Neurospora crassa OR74A: one gene and its partner. The protein of the gene in region 2 interacts with the protein of the main gene of each other region in a biochemical or structural test. Links are inferred from orthologs where the notes say so. Each region holds a gene or a part of one and is shown on either strand. Other genes may lie near its edges.

Evidence for each region. The genes of interacting proteins can lie anywhere in the genome.
Region 1: the proteins of cdc24 (region 2) and NCU06593 form a complex in vitro, tested with the Schizosaccharomyces pombe proteins (2 studies listed by BioGRID, with this or other methods). The link is inferred for Neurospora crassa OR74A from reciprocal best matches to the Schizosaccharomyces pombe genes scd1 and scd2.

The regions. Positions count from the first base shown.
Region 1 is NC_026504.1:1,739,826-1,747,901, reverse strand, and holds NCU06593 (MAP kinase activator), read left to right. Parts: upstream 1-2,611; 5' UTR 2,612-3,844; coding exon 3,845-3,850; intron 3,851-4,236; coding exon 4,237-4,332; intron 4,333-4,390; coding exon 4,391-5,131; intron 5,132-5,189; coding exon 5,190-6,065; 3' UTR 6,066-7,070; downstream 7,071-8,076. Other genes in the region: NCU06592 (hypothetical protein), read right to left, coding at 7,806-8,076. UniProt on the Schizosaccharomyces pombe protein: Required for mating and morphogenesis. Interacts directly with scd1 and with cdc42. May bridge and facilitate scd1 and cdc42 interactions.
Region 2 is NC_026507.1:1,920,274-1,927,278, forward strand, and holds the end of cdc24 (rho guanyl nucleotide exchange factor), read left to right. Parts: coding exon 1-511; intron 512-597; coding exon 598-1,137; intron 1,138-1,198; coding exon 1,199-1,441; intron 1,442-1,526; coding exon 1,527-1,713; intron 1,714-1,767; coding exon 1,768-3,194; 3' UTR 3,195-4,439; downstream 4,440-7,005. Other genes in the region: NCU06066 (mitochondrial 37S ribosomal protein YmS-T), read right to left, coding at 5,638-5,804, 5,938-6,043; NCU06065 (hypothetical protein), read left to right, coding at 6,944-7,005. UniProt on the Schizosaccharomyces pombe protein: Required for mating and morphogenesis. May contain a cryptic binding site for cdc42 that is enhanced by binding Ras. Interacts directly with scd2. Promotes the exchange of cdc42-bound GDP by GTP.

The DNA.
Region 1 (8,076 bases), on a different chromosome or scaffold from region 2:
GAGACGTAATATCCACCGTTTTCGGAACCCATTCTCGGTGGACAGGATGATAGATGGCGTCTTCGCACATCGACCCCCTTCTTTCCCGATCAATGTGTCTTGCCGGAGGATCTCGACGTGTCGGCTCACGGGGTCTCTTGTTTTAGCAAGCATTAGGGTCATGCGGAGGTGACCTTTGGCGACGTGGAAGCAGCAGCATTAGTTGCTATGGTGCTGTAGTGGCACCCTGCTCTCCTTCTATGCGTCCTTACAGGCACCGCTCTCTTATTCAACAATTTTTCAGTATCCCTTGCGTTCCGGTGTCGGCATCTTTGGGTGGTGGTTTGGGTCAGCGAGCATAGGGTTTTGGCGTCTCGGGGTGTCAAAACTGCTTGCATTTGTCCCTTGTCTTTTTTTCTTTGTTCCTTCTTCATGCTAGTACAGGTAACTCAGGTGTTTGGCGTTAAGGGAACAATGCTAAGAGCAGGGAGGTTGAGTGGGCATGTCTTACAGTTAGCAAAATAAGAACGTACTTAGTGAGCTCCAGCACACAACACAGTCATATTGTGCGCCGTCGATATCGATGCCATCCTTGTTGTCTTTTGAGTCAGAGTACGGGGAGCCGGAGGCCAACACAATCGGCCGCGCATCATAATCAATGGTGGAAAAGGGTCGGGTCCTTCGACTTCTGCCCGCATTGCAAGCAGATGTGACGAACCTCCATGCTACGCGTTTGCTTCTTGATGCAGTTGCTAACTTAACCTTGGGTCGAATTGAAGCGGTGGCTGGTGAGGCGAAAGATAGACACCATACCATGTGGAAAAAGGAAAAATACCACGCTGCCTCATTGCTTACAGGTGCGCCAGCGGGCATCCCGGCCCGTCGTGTGCTCCTCGCGTCACATCCCGATTGGTCAAACCTCGTGCATGTACGTAGAAGTCGTGCATCGATAAATGGAAAGAGGGTTGAAACCATTGCCATGGAAAACATGGCAATTGGCGGCTTTTCTTGGGCGTTGTTCATGTCCAATAGAGAGGGTGAAGATGTTGAGTATTCGAAGGACGTCCGTCCACTTGCACTATTCTCGTGTTTATGATTCCCTCTAGGAGCTCGCATATTATTGTTGTGGCCAGAATGAGATGAACATGATACAAAGGCCGAACAGAAACCCCGAAATGACAAAAAGTGAGATTTGTTAAGCAAAAGAATAAGAAAAGAAAGAAAAAACTGGATCGGTTAATGCCCAGATTCCAAAATCGGGAGCTTTGCGGCAGAGCCCTACCAGGCCGTTACAGTGCTGTCTCTATCGAGTCTAGACGCCAATGCTCCTTGTTCGCTGTTGGGTTGGGTTGTTCTGATTAGTCAGGCACAGGCCGCGGAGCTTCATCCGAAATACCCCGAGACCGAGAACCGATATCTACCTAAAATTTGATCGCGATGCTTTTTGCTGCACCAATGAAGGAGATTCGGACTGTGTAGAATGAATCTGCCAAACATAGGTAGATCTGAAAATCCCGAGCTAAGTCGCCATCAGAAGGACATATGTCAGCGTCAATCCAGTGATGCTAGTACTAGGCTTTTTCCTACTAGGGGTTGCTTGTGAACCGTCTTGGAGGCCTTGCATTCTATCGAGTCCCCTTCGGCTTTCAAGTCCACCGACGTTATGATGGAGCCCGATGTCAATGCATTGACAAGGTGTGGGCTTTGAACATCTCATGACGCATCGTATGAGTTGATGCACTAACAGCAGGCATATTCCTGCCTCACAGCATCGACTTGTTGTCGACGACGACGCCTTTCAAGTCACTTGGATGGGTAGTGACGGAACAGACTCGAGAATGAAGCAATCAATCCTTCAGTTGAGGTTGGAGAAGTGAGAAAAAATCCTCAGGTACCGTGTCCATAACACCCTGGTTGTCGACTCGACTCAGCAAACCAACCACAGTTTCCGCTATGACAAGCGCGATCACGATGCATATGCAGTGGCTTCAAAGATATGTACAATATCATGCACACTAGCACGCACACATATCTTAGGCCAGGCAATGACAGCGACAAAGATACCAACGGAGAATACCTGAGGGAGCAGCAATCTTAGCTTTTCAATGGCCTCATTGCGCGCGGCTCATCTTTGATCAGATCGTGTAAGACTAGCAAGCTGGTTGGTTTCAGTTGAGATTTGACGTTGGCCGACTTCTTTCATTCGTTTGTCGCAAAGTTCCTGGTCGTATCGCGGTGGGCACGTCCGGAATCCCAAAGATCGAGAGCGGCCAAGAAACAGTGGAGGTACCTAAGAACGAAAGCCAATTCGAATCCACCACAGCCAGGTCCAGGGAGGGTGGGTCCCTCTGGACGTGAGAACCCTGGCGGCGCTCTCCAATTGCACCAACATGCAGGGCAGCAACTGCGCCAATCAACCAGGCCGGGGTGCCTTCAGGTACCTGCCCGCGCGGCCTCTGCGCTGCTGCAACGCTACAATTCCCCTCTTAAGTCGAGGTCCTTGGCCGTCCATTGTCATGCCGATTGTCATGCGGATGCTAACGGCTAGATAGAGGCAGCCACCCTTTCACGGTCAGGACACGGACATAAACTAGCAGACACTAACAGACACTAGGCGAATAAGCAAGCCTGAGTGGCTGTTTTTCCAACATGTTCCATGCCGTCCGTCTCGGCTAGGCTGGTGACTTGCTTGTGACCTTCATCACACCTACCCGCCCGTCTTCGAGCCATCTCCGGCCACCACCTCCACACCCTGTCGGCTTCCACTCTGCGAGAACACACCTGGACCCGACCCTTGGTGATCACCCTTGCTGCTTCCGTTGCAAGCTTGGCTTTGGGCTGTTGCTATCTCCCTTTTTATTATTTTTTTAATGCTATTGCTGCCCGTCCCGAGGACTAGCACGCAAGGCACGCAGGCCATATATCCCACCTGATCCTGATCCTTCCCCGCCACCGTGCAGTTTCCAGTTTCCATTCCCACCTGCCCGTTCGCTCGCTTCGTTCACTCATCACCAGTTCCAACTCTCGACAACCAACCTTCCTACTGCGACAGTCAAGTCCATCATCGCCGACAACACTCGTCGCAACACCCAACGCAACTCCCGGCGGATTGTCCACCACTACTTAGACATTCTAGAAGCGCTCGCCGGACTGGGACTTGCGCATTGAGCATTGGGTCTAGGCAGTCGGCATTGCGGCTGAACAAAGGAACAAGAGAATTGCATCAACACCACACGCCCACACGCCAGGCGGCCCTGATCAGGCTCAGACAAAGACGGAAAGCCAAGATTGAGGCAAACTCGGCCAGACAGCGAACTTGGGGTCAGCTATCCACTTGGGGAACAGAAGTATTGGGGCGCGACCATTTTACACGAAACGGTCGCCGAAATTAGCTGGACAACCGCTGCTTTCCAAATTACGTCTCCCTTACGTTCGCACGGTCGCAAACACTAGTGCAGCAGATAACGACCCCGTCCGCGATATCCACTCCCGTCATCGCCGCGCTGCTTTCCCGGCTCCCATCCGACCGATACATACGGCACATTTGGATCGTTACACAGATTCCACCTAGCAACACCCTCCACGACACACACACACACACACCACACACACGAGCAGAACCGCCCAGGACCAACCCCAGAGGGATCCTAGGCAAGCCCTCTCGCCGTCCGTCATTTGAGTCGGCGTAACCCCAACCACGATTGCCCGCGCACGCCGACACCAGGACGCCCGCTCCAAAAGTTGTTTGCTGACGCCTCTCACCCCGTCAGCCGTTCCTGTTTCTCTCTGTGTATAGCACAATAGTTCCGGTTTTGGTTTGTGTACACATAGCTTACAAGTCGTCTGAGTATCGCTGTCGGACAAGATGAAGGTACGTCATTCCCCGCTGTTCTGTGCTCTGCCATCCCCTCTCTCTTCCCTTCCCCGTCCCTCCTCCTCTTCAGTCCGATCGTTTTTGCTCGTTCCCCAGGAAACAGCCCTCGTGATTGTATAGCAGAGGCTTCACTGCTATTGGGGACATGAGAGATAGGATCGGGCTACGGCTCAGGTATTCATACACCATCACATAGGCGTTCTTGCCTTGGCCAATTCGTCACGATGCAATACAGCTTGCGTGAACCGGAAGAATCCTTTTTCTTAGTGTCTGCTCCATCTACACCCACAGCACCTCTCGAATTTTCTTGGCCTCGTCGGACTACTCATTTCAATACTGCGGTTTCGTCGTTCTGGCAACTAACAATGTCACGCGGTTTTAAGGCTCTACGAAGGTCCATCAAGGGTGGAGAGAAGGACTCCAAACCTCATATTACTATTCAACCGAAATCTGCCGTCGCCATCGTCCCTCCAAAGAAGGTATGTCTCGTAACAAGGTGTCAGCCACAAGGCGCTTAGGCTAAACTTGTTATCACAGGTTATAAAAGCTCTCTACGATTACGAAGCACAAAATGCACAGGAGCTTAGCTTTTCACGCGGCGATTTCTTCCATGTCATCGGTCGTGAAAATGACCCAGAGTGGTATGAGGCGTGCAACCCTGCGCTACCAGACGCTCGTGGTCTCGTGCCCGTCGCTTATTTCCAGGCCCTTGGACGTACGGAACGCGATAGCGGCCAGTCTCAAACCGGTTCACTGGGTTTGAAGACCGTAGATAGTGATTCTGGATACGGCGAAGGCTCGGCGGCCTCGCCTCCTGGAGCAAACGCCGCGAATCGGATGTCGAAAACGCCTGGCAAGAATGGAGCCATGGTTTATGGTGTCGTTTTGTACGATTTCCAAGCCGAACGGGCAGACGAATTGGAAGCCAAGCAGGGCGAGGCCATCATTGTCATTGCCCAGTCGAACCCCGAATGGTTCGTGGCTAAGCCCATCGGAAGACTTGGCGGCCCGGGTCTGATTCCCGTATCCTTTGTTGAGATCCGGGACATGGCGAGTAACACCCCTGTCCCGAACCCCCATGATGCCATACGAAAAGCTGGGATTCCAAAGGTCGAGGAGTGGAAGAAGATGGCTGCGGAATATAAGAACTCGAGCATAACGCTCGGCAAGTTCGATGTTGGTGGTGGCGGTGGTGGCCAACCACCACTTGACCAGGCCATGAACCGCTTAACTTTGCAAGGAAGCGCCCGGTTGAGCCAGCAGACTACTCATACCCAGGTACGTGTATTCTGTCCACTTACTTTGCGTGCGTGTTTGTACTAACAGGTCTTTGCAGCAACAGATACAGGCTCAAGGACAATCCTATTCGAGGCCAACCTCGACACTATACGCACCCATCGCAGCCAGGGTTCCGAGGTACTGCTTTGCCGAGGACAAGTACTGGTTTGTTATTGAAGCCGAACTGGAGGATGGTCGATGCTTCGAACTTTCGCGATACTACGAGGATTTCTACGACTTCCAAATCGCGCTCCTAACCGAGTTCCCTCTTGAAGCTGGAACTACAGGCGGCAAGCAGCGGACGCTACCCTACATGCCCGGTCCTGTTAATTACGTGACTGATGCGATTACGGAAGGCCGCCGCCACAACCTTGACTCTTACGTTAAAAGTCTACTGGAACAACCGCCACACATCTCCCGCTGTAACCTGGTCAAGCAGTTCTTTTCTCCTAGAGAGGGTGATTACGAAATCGACCCTAGCGTTGCTCGCGAGGAATACCGATTCTCTGGAGGCTCTGGTCCGTCCTCTGACTCACCAGCCGACGGCCTCTCACTACAGAGCACAGCCGGCAACAGATATTCTGCCGGTCTCGGTGTTCCTCAGAGGCAGCTGAGCATTGGCAACGGCCAACAGATTCCGGGACCTGGGCAGGCTTCACAGACCTCATTGTCACCTGCTATTATGCAGGGTGGTTCACAGATGAAAGTGAAACTGCACTTCAACGGCGACATCATCGCCATCCGCGTACCCACTGATATTCCATTCCAAGCTCTCCATGACAAGATTCTGGATCGTCTCAAGATTCCTCAGGGCGAGGACGTTCAGCTAAGTTACAAGGACGACGCGAGTGGCGAGAAGCCTCCTCTGATGAACGACGAAGATCTGGATATTGCACTGCAACGGAACGAAAAGCTGCTCGTTTACGTGGAATAATGGACTGACGGACTTTGAAACCCCAACCCATACACGTTTGTTGGCCATATTCCGATACACAGCGCATTCGGATACCATGGTCACATGCGCCATGTTTCACGAACATTTGATTCGAAGGCAGCAACTGGGTAAACTAAGCGCTCGGCCTTCAAAAGTCACGCCAGATGGCTACATACACAAGCAAGGCGAACAACGTGGAGGGAATTGCTCATTTGCGCACTCAGTTACATACCATCTTTTCTCGTTGACGGCTGCCAACAAACTGCTCTTTATCCAACACACAATGCGATATCTATACCCCACGCTATATACCCAAACGCATACGTAAATCATATAGGACTTCGCGGTTCAGTCGTTGTAATACATTTCGAATTGATCGGCTCGTCTCTCTCCACTCACTAAAATTTCTGGGACGCAGATGGTCATGGGGCATTTTGGATGCGGCAGGGACTTTGGGATACGGTGATATTTTTTTGGAACAGCTCAGGAGTCAGGCCAAAGGAGTCTGTGACCATGGTGAAAAAAAGGAAGGAAGTAGAGTCAGGGGAGGATCTGCGCGCTTGCTGGAAGGCTGCGGTGGGGCCAAGTTGGGAGATGGATTCTTGGTTAGGCGTGGGGGAGGGTGGAAGGATTAAATTTGATACCAAACTACGTTGCTACTCGAGGTCGAAGATGGGTGGTGGATTACCATAAGAAGAGGTGGTGGAGGTGGTAATGGTGGTGCTGAGGGTGATGACAAGGGACAAGAAGAAGAAGAAGGGGCCCTTGTGAATGGATGATGAATGAAATGAATTTACACCCACAGGCTTTTTGTGTTTCAGGATGTTGACCGAGATGGCGGGGGACACGGGGTATCGTTTCTGCAGTGTAGGTGAGATTTGAAGATATCCATGTGCAGTCAAGGTGTTTTTGGTAATAAAAAAATTGGGAGCGAAAGATGACCGGAGAAAAGAGAGTAGTGGTGGTCTACTCGCAGCCAGTAAGTAGCATAAATCTACATTTGAAGATATCGCGACTTCCGATAATTGCATGTGACATCTGCTATACAATGTCATTGGAAGTTGAATAAATGCACAATTACGGCAAATGCCAAGCCCATCGAAAACATACATCGCATTCTTGTTCTGGTAAAGGAAGCAATGGTAACAATGACACTTCCACAACAATCAGTCAAAGTTCGTTACATATTTACAAAGTTGGAAGTAACGAAGTCGATGCCGTTTCACACTACCAATGTAATGCTTGTAAGTCAACCAGCCCGAAGGCCAGATCTAGGAAATTCTTACTGAAAAGCATACAGAAATGCAATATACGTCCCCAACTAATAACTCCGAGGCTCACATATCACCTATGAAAAGTGAGTTGGGCGTACAACGAACCGTATACCCCTGCTCCCCTGCTAAAAAAAAAAATTGACACCTGAAACGCCAGTTGCAATCCACCAGAGTCCCAAAGTAGACATAGCGATACCTGGAATGCCAGGATAAATATGGCTGACTGACTGTTGCCCAACAAGACAGACATATTTAGTAATGAAGCAAACAAAACGAGAAAAAAATGAAATGAAAAGAAGGGAAGAAAGAAAAACAAGAAAGGAAAAACCGGGGAACGGGGAAGAAACTCTAAACTAAACCCATTACAAGAAAAAAAAATGGAAGAATAAACACGCCTCGGTATCGGGAGCGAGGCAGGCATAACGCCAGTTCCAAGCAAGGGTCCCCATCTCAGTCACATCTTCCCTCAAACTACAACATGAGTACTCATATGCTCGACCGCCTCCTTGATAGTCCTCAACATCCTCTGATTCACACAAAACGGGCATCTGACCGGCCGATCCGTCAGAGACACGGGTCCTCCACTCGGAATCGGCGTCAGCGTCAGCGGGTCCTCTACCCCCGTAGCACCGGGCACGAACCTCGCCCCTGTAGTAGTTCCATTGGCACCACCACCACCACCACCACCACGAGCAGGTGTCGACATGGCATTCGCATAAGCCTGTCCGGCAATCGTT
Region 2 (7,005 bases):
CCTGTCCAACGCCGCGCGCGCGAGCCAGCTTTCGGGCTCGACGGCCTTCAATTCCTCTACTTCGCTCAGCTCGCTCACTTCGTCCGCCACCGCCGTTACCCCCGTGAACGGCCAGGTTGTCGCCACCACAAACATCATCAACCAGAGAGCCGACGCCTCGCGATCGCTGTACCAAATATGTTTGTCGCTCAAACAACGCCTCGCCCAGGTTCCCGGCTTCGAGGGCTATCTAGAACAACTGCAGCGCGAGCAGGAGAATGGCCATGATGGCCCCGTCGAGGCCCTCTGGAAGCTCCTTCGCACCGGTCTGCCCCTGCTCACCATCTACAATGCGCTCCAACCCGAGAAACCGCTACACGTCGATCAGAGGCCGAACGAGACGGAAGCGCGACGGTCCAAACGCGCCATTATGGAATTCGTCAAGGCCTGCTTGAGCGACCTCGACCCTCCCGTTACCGAATGCTTTATCGTCGCCGACCTTACAGGGGAGGATACCACCGGCTTTGTCAAGGTGAGCGAATCTTATGGCGCCCCCTTTTTACCTGCACACTTGATGGAACAGTATATGCTGACGAGAGCACATGTTCGGAAAACCAGGTGACTTCTGTTATCAACTATGTGCTCGATCTTGCCGAAAAACGGGGCCTCTTGCTCCAAACCCTGCCATACCCCGAAGATGATATCACGCAGCCGGGTTCTAAGATGACCCATCGCGATTACATTGTTCGAGAACTGGTAGACACGGAGCGCAAATACGTACAGGATCTCGAGAACCTCCACGACCTGAAGAGGACGCTGGAACACAGGAGCGTTATCCCTGGCGAATTCATCCACGACATATTCCTTAATATCAACGCCATCTTGGATCATCAACGAAAGTTCCTCATCAGGGTAGAAACAACAAATTCGATGCCGCAGGCTAGGCAGGAATGGGGAAGCTTGTTCGTCACAGCTGAAGAGAACTTTGGCATTTACCAACCCTTTATCGCGAACCAAAGAAAGGCGGCCCAGGTTGCGACGCAAGTGTTTGACAAGATCCAAGAGGCTGGCCATCCGGTCGCGTGTGATTTTAATACCCTTGATGGTTTCCTCCTCAAGCCTATGCAGAGACTGGTCAAGTACCCGCTTTTGCTCAAGGTATGGATACTGCGTCCTTTTGATGGTACTAATGCGCATACTAATTGGCTTGTTCTCAAAGGATTTGCTGAAGAAGAGCGAGGACGAGCACACCAAGGAGGATTTAGCTGCCGGCATCGCTGCTGCTGAACGGGTCTTGATGAAAGCCAATTCGGCCGTTGATAAGAACATCCTCGAAGAGGCCTTGCAGGACCTTATACACCGAGTAGACGACTGGAAGAGCCATAAGGTGGACAACTTTGGAAGTCTGCTCCTACACGGAGTATACACTGTTATAACGGGCAAGAGTGAACAAGAGAAGGACGTACGTATCTCCCCCCTGGCGCATGCGTTCCTCCTTTTGCTGGTATAAGACGAGCTGATAATGGACCGCTAACCTTCCTCAGCAGTATGAGATCTATCTTTTTGAGAATATCTTGCTCTGTTGCAAGGAACTCACTACGACTAAAGCCAAGGACAAGAAGGACAAGACTCGATCATCCGTACCAAAGTTGCGGAACAAGTTCGCCAAACTACAACTTAAGGGCCGCATCTTCATGACCAATGTCACCGATGTAGTAGCCATTTCCAAGCCTGGTAAGCGACACAGTTGGAATTCTCGGCGGAACACAACAGTTGCTGACTGTGCAGGTTCGTATACCGTACAAATATGGTGGAAGGGCGATCCGGGCGTGGAGAATTTCATGATCAAATTCCAGACCGAAGAGATGATGAAGAAGTGGGCCGCCGGTCTGGAAGAACAGCGAAAGCAGAACACGCAAGCGGCCCCAGTTGCTCCTGATCAAGCTCCGCCAAACTTTGCCTGGCTCGCCTCGCAAGGCAACGGACTGGAGAATCCCTACAAGGACGAAGAAGAGGACGAGGACATCTATAATGCTGCTGCCCCGACCGTTGCCATGCCAGGCACAATGCCGCGGAATGGATCGAGCACAAGTCTACGGCAGCGGTCCGCCACCAGCGACAGTCTAGCAGGTATGGCTCGCGCACCACCTCCACGATTCCCTCTTCCACAGGCACCTGCGCCTCTCAATGTTGGCCTTCAGCCATCACCCGCTGTTCGAGCAGGCGAGTCTTACTTCTCTCCCGTAGCCGAGTCGCCCGCTTCGAGTCGGACGAGCACAGCGAGCGGCATCTTCGCCGGTGCCGGATCCGGCTATCCTTTCCCCAAGACCGGTACCCCCCAAGGATGGCAGGAGGATAGCAACCGCTACACGGCCCCTGCCATGCCAAGGGCGCCATCGCGAGACGGCCCATCTCCAGGAACCGGGAGGAACCCACGAGGACCCTCGATGCCCGTTATGCCCCGGGGGGATAACAGCCAGTTTCAGCAGGCACGCAGTCGGAGTTATAGTACACCGGACATTGCTGGCCAGGCCGCTGCGCGCATCAACCAGACAGGGGTACCTGCGGTGCCAGGCATTCCCGCCCATCTAACCCATGCCCGCCATGATTCCAACATTCCCAGGAGCAATACCGGCAGTCCAGCAAACGACCTTCCTCTACGGACCCAGACAGGTTCCCCTGGCAGAGAGCGGAAGAACTATGGAGGCCAATTGAATCAGTTCCCTCCACAGCCTATCCGCCAGGGAACACCAGGCAGTGTCACCGGCTTCCCTCCGCCATCTGGCCCGCCCCCACCGGGCATGGCGCCTCTTGCCCCGACTGAGGGAACGCGAAACATCACCCCATCGCTCGGTACCGCACCGATCATGTCCGGACAGAACCCGCTCTCACCCACAGATGACGACATGCTCCCCACGCAACTGAAGGTCAAGGTTCACTGCGATACCGGTAACTACATCACATTGGTTGTGCTCTACGACATTACTTACGAGAAACTGATTGACCGCATCGACAATAAACTTTCGCGGTTTACCAGTAGCAGTATCGGCGGGGGTAATTTGAGGTTACGGTACCGGGATGAGGATGGCGACTTCGTCATGATCGAGAGCGACGATGATATTCAAATCGCCATTTCGGATTGGCGTGAGGGGCTTCGCAACCCAGATAGCGCCGGGGAAATTGACCTGTACTGCGAAGGGGAACTGTTGGAGTGAGCAGGGCATCAAAGTGGCATTGTGTGCTCACAGAAAATTCCGAACACACCCGCTTGCGTCGGTCTTCTCATTTCTTTTTTTTTTTTTTTGGAATAAACTTGGACAGCACCATATTGTAAAAAAAAAAGGCAGCAGCAACAACCTGTCTTTCATCCCTCTCACGTCCGTCACATTCTGTCACTTTTATCACTGTCCCTCATCTGTTCGGCAACTCAATTCGACAAACAACTCATTTCTCTTCTCGGTTTTTGGGTACCATCTTTCACTTATCATCTTGTCTTGGGACAGAAACTCGGCAACAAGGATTGGCATGCATGGATTCTCCAAACATACAGACAAAGGCGGACCCGCATAATCACCATCATCATCATCGTACGGTTCTTCTTCTAAGAAACGACTCATCACAGACATCTATACACACACACCATTTCCTTTAGTTGTCATCTCTTATCTCACTCACTCACTCTCTCTCTCTCTCTAAAGAGTACACACGCACGCGCACACCAAGAATCATTTTTTTTATCGGTGTCGGCTATAGACACGGGCATTTTCTTGGATTTTCCTTTGTCATCATCATCATCATCATCATCATCATCATCATCATCACGGGTCAAGCTCCCTTCCCTCTTTCATTTGTCTTGTTTCCCCATCATTGTTTTCTCATCATTTCTGCGTAGTGAAGGACTATTTGCTGTCTTATACCTTGTCGGTCTTTGAGTATCGGTCTTTGTCGAGTCGGGTTTGTCAGGACGGGTTAGAATGTGATGGATGCCAGGGGATGAGATGAGCAACGGTTTCCTTGCTTCCGTCTTGTCTCTGTTCGGTTTGGTTTCAACGGGAACAACACACGGATGAATGAGAGTTGGAGTGAGTTCTCTGCTGGAAATCAAAGAGAAGTCAAGGCGGCTGTCCAAACAGTGGTTGCTTGGACGCAAGCGGGACGGGTCCGGTAATTTTGGTGGTTTCCCATGGTCAAGAGGGGGAAGCATGGAGCAAGAAGGAGGACGCGAGCGGGCCGAGAGTGAAAATAGATGGACGGAATGGAGGAAGAAGGAAAAGAAGGGAGGAGGAAGGGGTTGACGGTCAGTGAAGTTGTTGTCTTTTTTTTTTCTTTTTTTTTTTTTTGGTTGATCTTTATAGTCAGATATGAATACCCAATTGCGCATTTTTGTTGTTTGTTTGTCTGTTAGTTATTCCAGTCTTTTATAGAGTCTAGAGCAGAGCAGAGGAGAGAGTAAACTTAGGTTAGGTGCTTTATAACGGTTAATGTGAAGAGTAAGCAACTGCTTGAACATTAACGTGTACGTTCGTGAACATGATTCGTGGGATGATCCAGTAGTTTGTTCAATAAATCAACCACTAAAGAGTGGATTTTGTCTGCAAACAGATCCAAATATCCTAGTTCACTGGTGTACACTATTGCCGTTCCAGACAAAAACCTCTTGATCGAAAGACATTGGCCACGATCTTCTCTCGAAGCCACCCTTGTCGGAACATTGCATTCAAAGAATCATCCCCATTGTTGAATTTCTAAACAGCCCCTTTTAGTCAAGTATGATGCTTTGGCTGGGTACTGGAGGCAAATTTGATGATCAGGATCCTTTTTACCGTTTCAAATGGACTCATCGGTCCGTGATGTTCCCGCCAAGGAGGGATAAACGCAGTGTGATAATCATTTTTGTGAACTACCATGGCGGCAATTTATGAACTTATAGTATATGATGTATGTAAGTTGTATTGTTACAATGCCTCTAAGGAAAAAAAAAAGAAAAAATTCAAATATATACTAAAACGCCCGGATAAGCATAAGCCTCACTTAGTTCTCCCAAATGCTTTTTTTCCTTTGAATATTGCCACAATATTGTACAGCAGCAAGCAAGCAACCCTCAACGGCTGGCCATCCAGATATCCGAACTGACTTGTGAAAGACGCCAGCAGCACATCGTACGTAGGCCATGCCAGCTCATGTCTTGGTGTGCATATGCTTCCGCTCTCCTCCTCCTCTCCCATCTCTATCTCTTGCTTTCCTTCCATTTTGGGGGGGTATCACACCAGGGCGCGAACTGGTCTTGCCTCGTAATTTTTGTTTCGAAACCACTTAATCCTCTTTCAATTGTTTCCCACGCAGTAACTTTTCCCACGACAACTCTTCTTCTAACATCCTCCCAACTCCTCCCGCCTCCTCCATCCAATGGCGTTGGCGTCGCAGGGATATCAACATGGTTGTAGTAGTTCTTTGAGAGGAGGGAGGGGGAGGGGAAGGGGCGTGGGAATTATGATCGGTCTTGAATGGATCCCCAAATTATGTATAAGGTTGAGTGTGTCGTTTGTCTTTTTTTCTTCTCTCGTCTTTCCTATCGTCCTTGTCCTCGTCCTCGTCGTCGTTGTCGTCATCGTTGTCGTCGTCGGGACACAGCACAGAGTCGTACACGCCCGTCGTCGCTTATTTCTTGGACTTGCCCTGAGTGAGTCTCTCCTGGAAGCGAGACAAGTGGTAGTTGATGGTGTTGTTGGGCTTGGGCGCAGGCTTGGGCGCGTCCATGCACGCGCGCAGGGCGTTCTCGACCGTGGCGCAACCGGCCGAGTTGTAACCGGCGGAAGCCCAGCAAGCTGTTTTTTTTTTCAAGGCGCAATTAGTTGGCTTTCTTTTCCTCTTTTGCGCTTCGCTTTGCTTGATTGGCGGACTAGGAGTGTTACGGAAGAAAGGAAGAAAGGAAGGAAGGAGAGAAGGCTCAATGCGTACCGAGAACCGAGGACATGACGGCGATGCAAGGGTTCTCCTCGGCCTTGTTGGCCTGGCGAACGCGCAGCTGCTTCAGCGGCGGCAGACGGATGGGCTTGTTGGGCATTTTGACAGCGTTGTGTTGTCGGTTTCTGTCGGAGAAGATCGGAGAAGACGGGAGGAGGGGGAAGGGGGGGCCGGGGGACAATCGGGGTCACGGTCGGAGGTGTCCGTTACGGTGCTCGAATAAAACCGGGGGGATTTCCACTTCCGTGTTCCGGACCTGTCTGGAGCTCTACTCTCACTGCGATCAGATGGGTGCCGTGTGCGCCGGCCGGCTTTCCGTTCGCTGCGCAGGGTCCCCGCTGTGGAATGAAAGATTTGGGGATCACGTGAAGATAAGGCGGGTGCAGTGACAGAGCGACATCAGGCAGGCAGGCAACGCAGTCGAGGTACTTGGTGCATGTACCTACCTCAAATTTGGGCCCGCGTGGGGTAGAAAGCAGGTGGAGCGTGGCTTCTTGGCATAGCGATAGTAGCTCCAGATTTGGTGCAAGATGATTGGCGGATTGCTCGGCATGTAAACAGAAACAGACTTTGGAGGGTTTGTCACTCAACAAGTCACACCTTCCCGTGTCTTCGCGATTTGTTGCTTTTTGAAGGTTCCCCCCCCGAAAAACACATGCGACACCTTCTTCCTTCCCACGTCCTTTTCGGTACTCACGACGACTCATGACGGATACCCATTGCATTGTTGGCAAAGCATAACTTTCGGCGCGTATTTGCTTGCTGTTTCCGCAACACAGTTTATCTGTTTTCTTTTTTTTTTTCTTTTTACTTTTTGATTTTTTTTTTTTCTCTCTTCCAAAGCGACCTTTGTTTACATCGGGACTCATCGCTGCCACTGCCGTCTCCTATCCAAGCAACGCGACAACGAACCACGGTTATCCTGCATACCTAGCTAAACACAATAAACTACACACTATACACCATCACATAAGTACCTAACACACAAAGACGTCGCTGCATGACGGGGACACCAATTGCGACAATGGTGGACTTTACGGGCGGCGCCTTGAACGCTGCCAT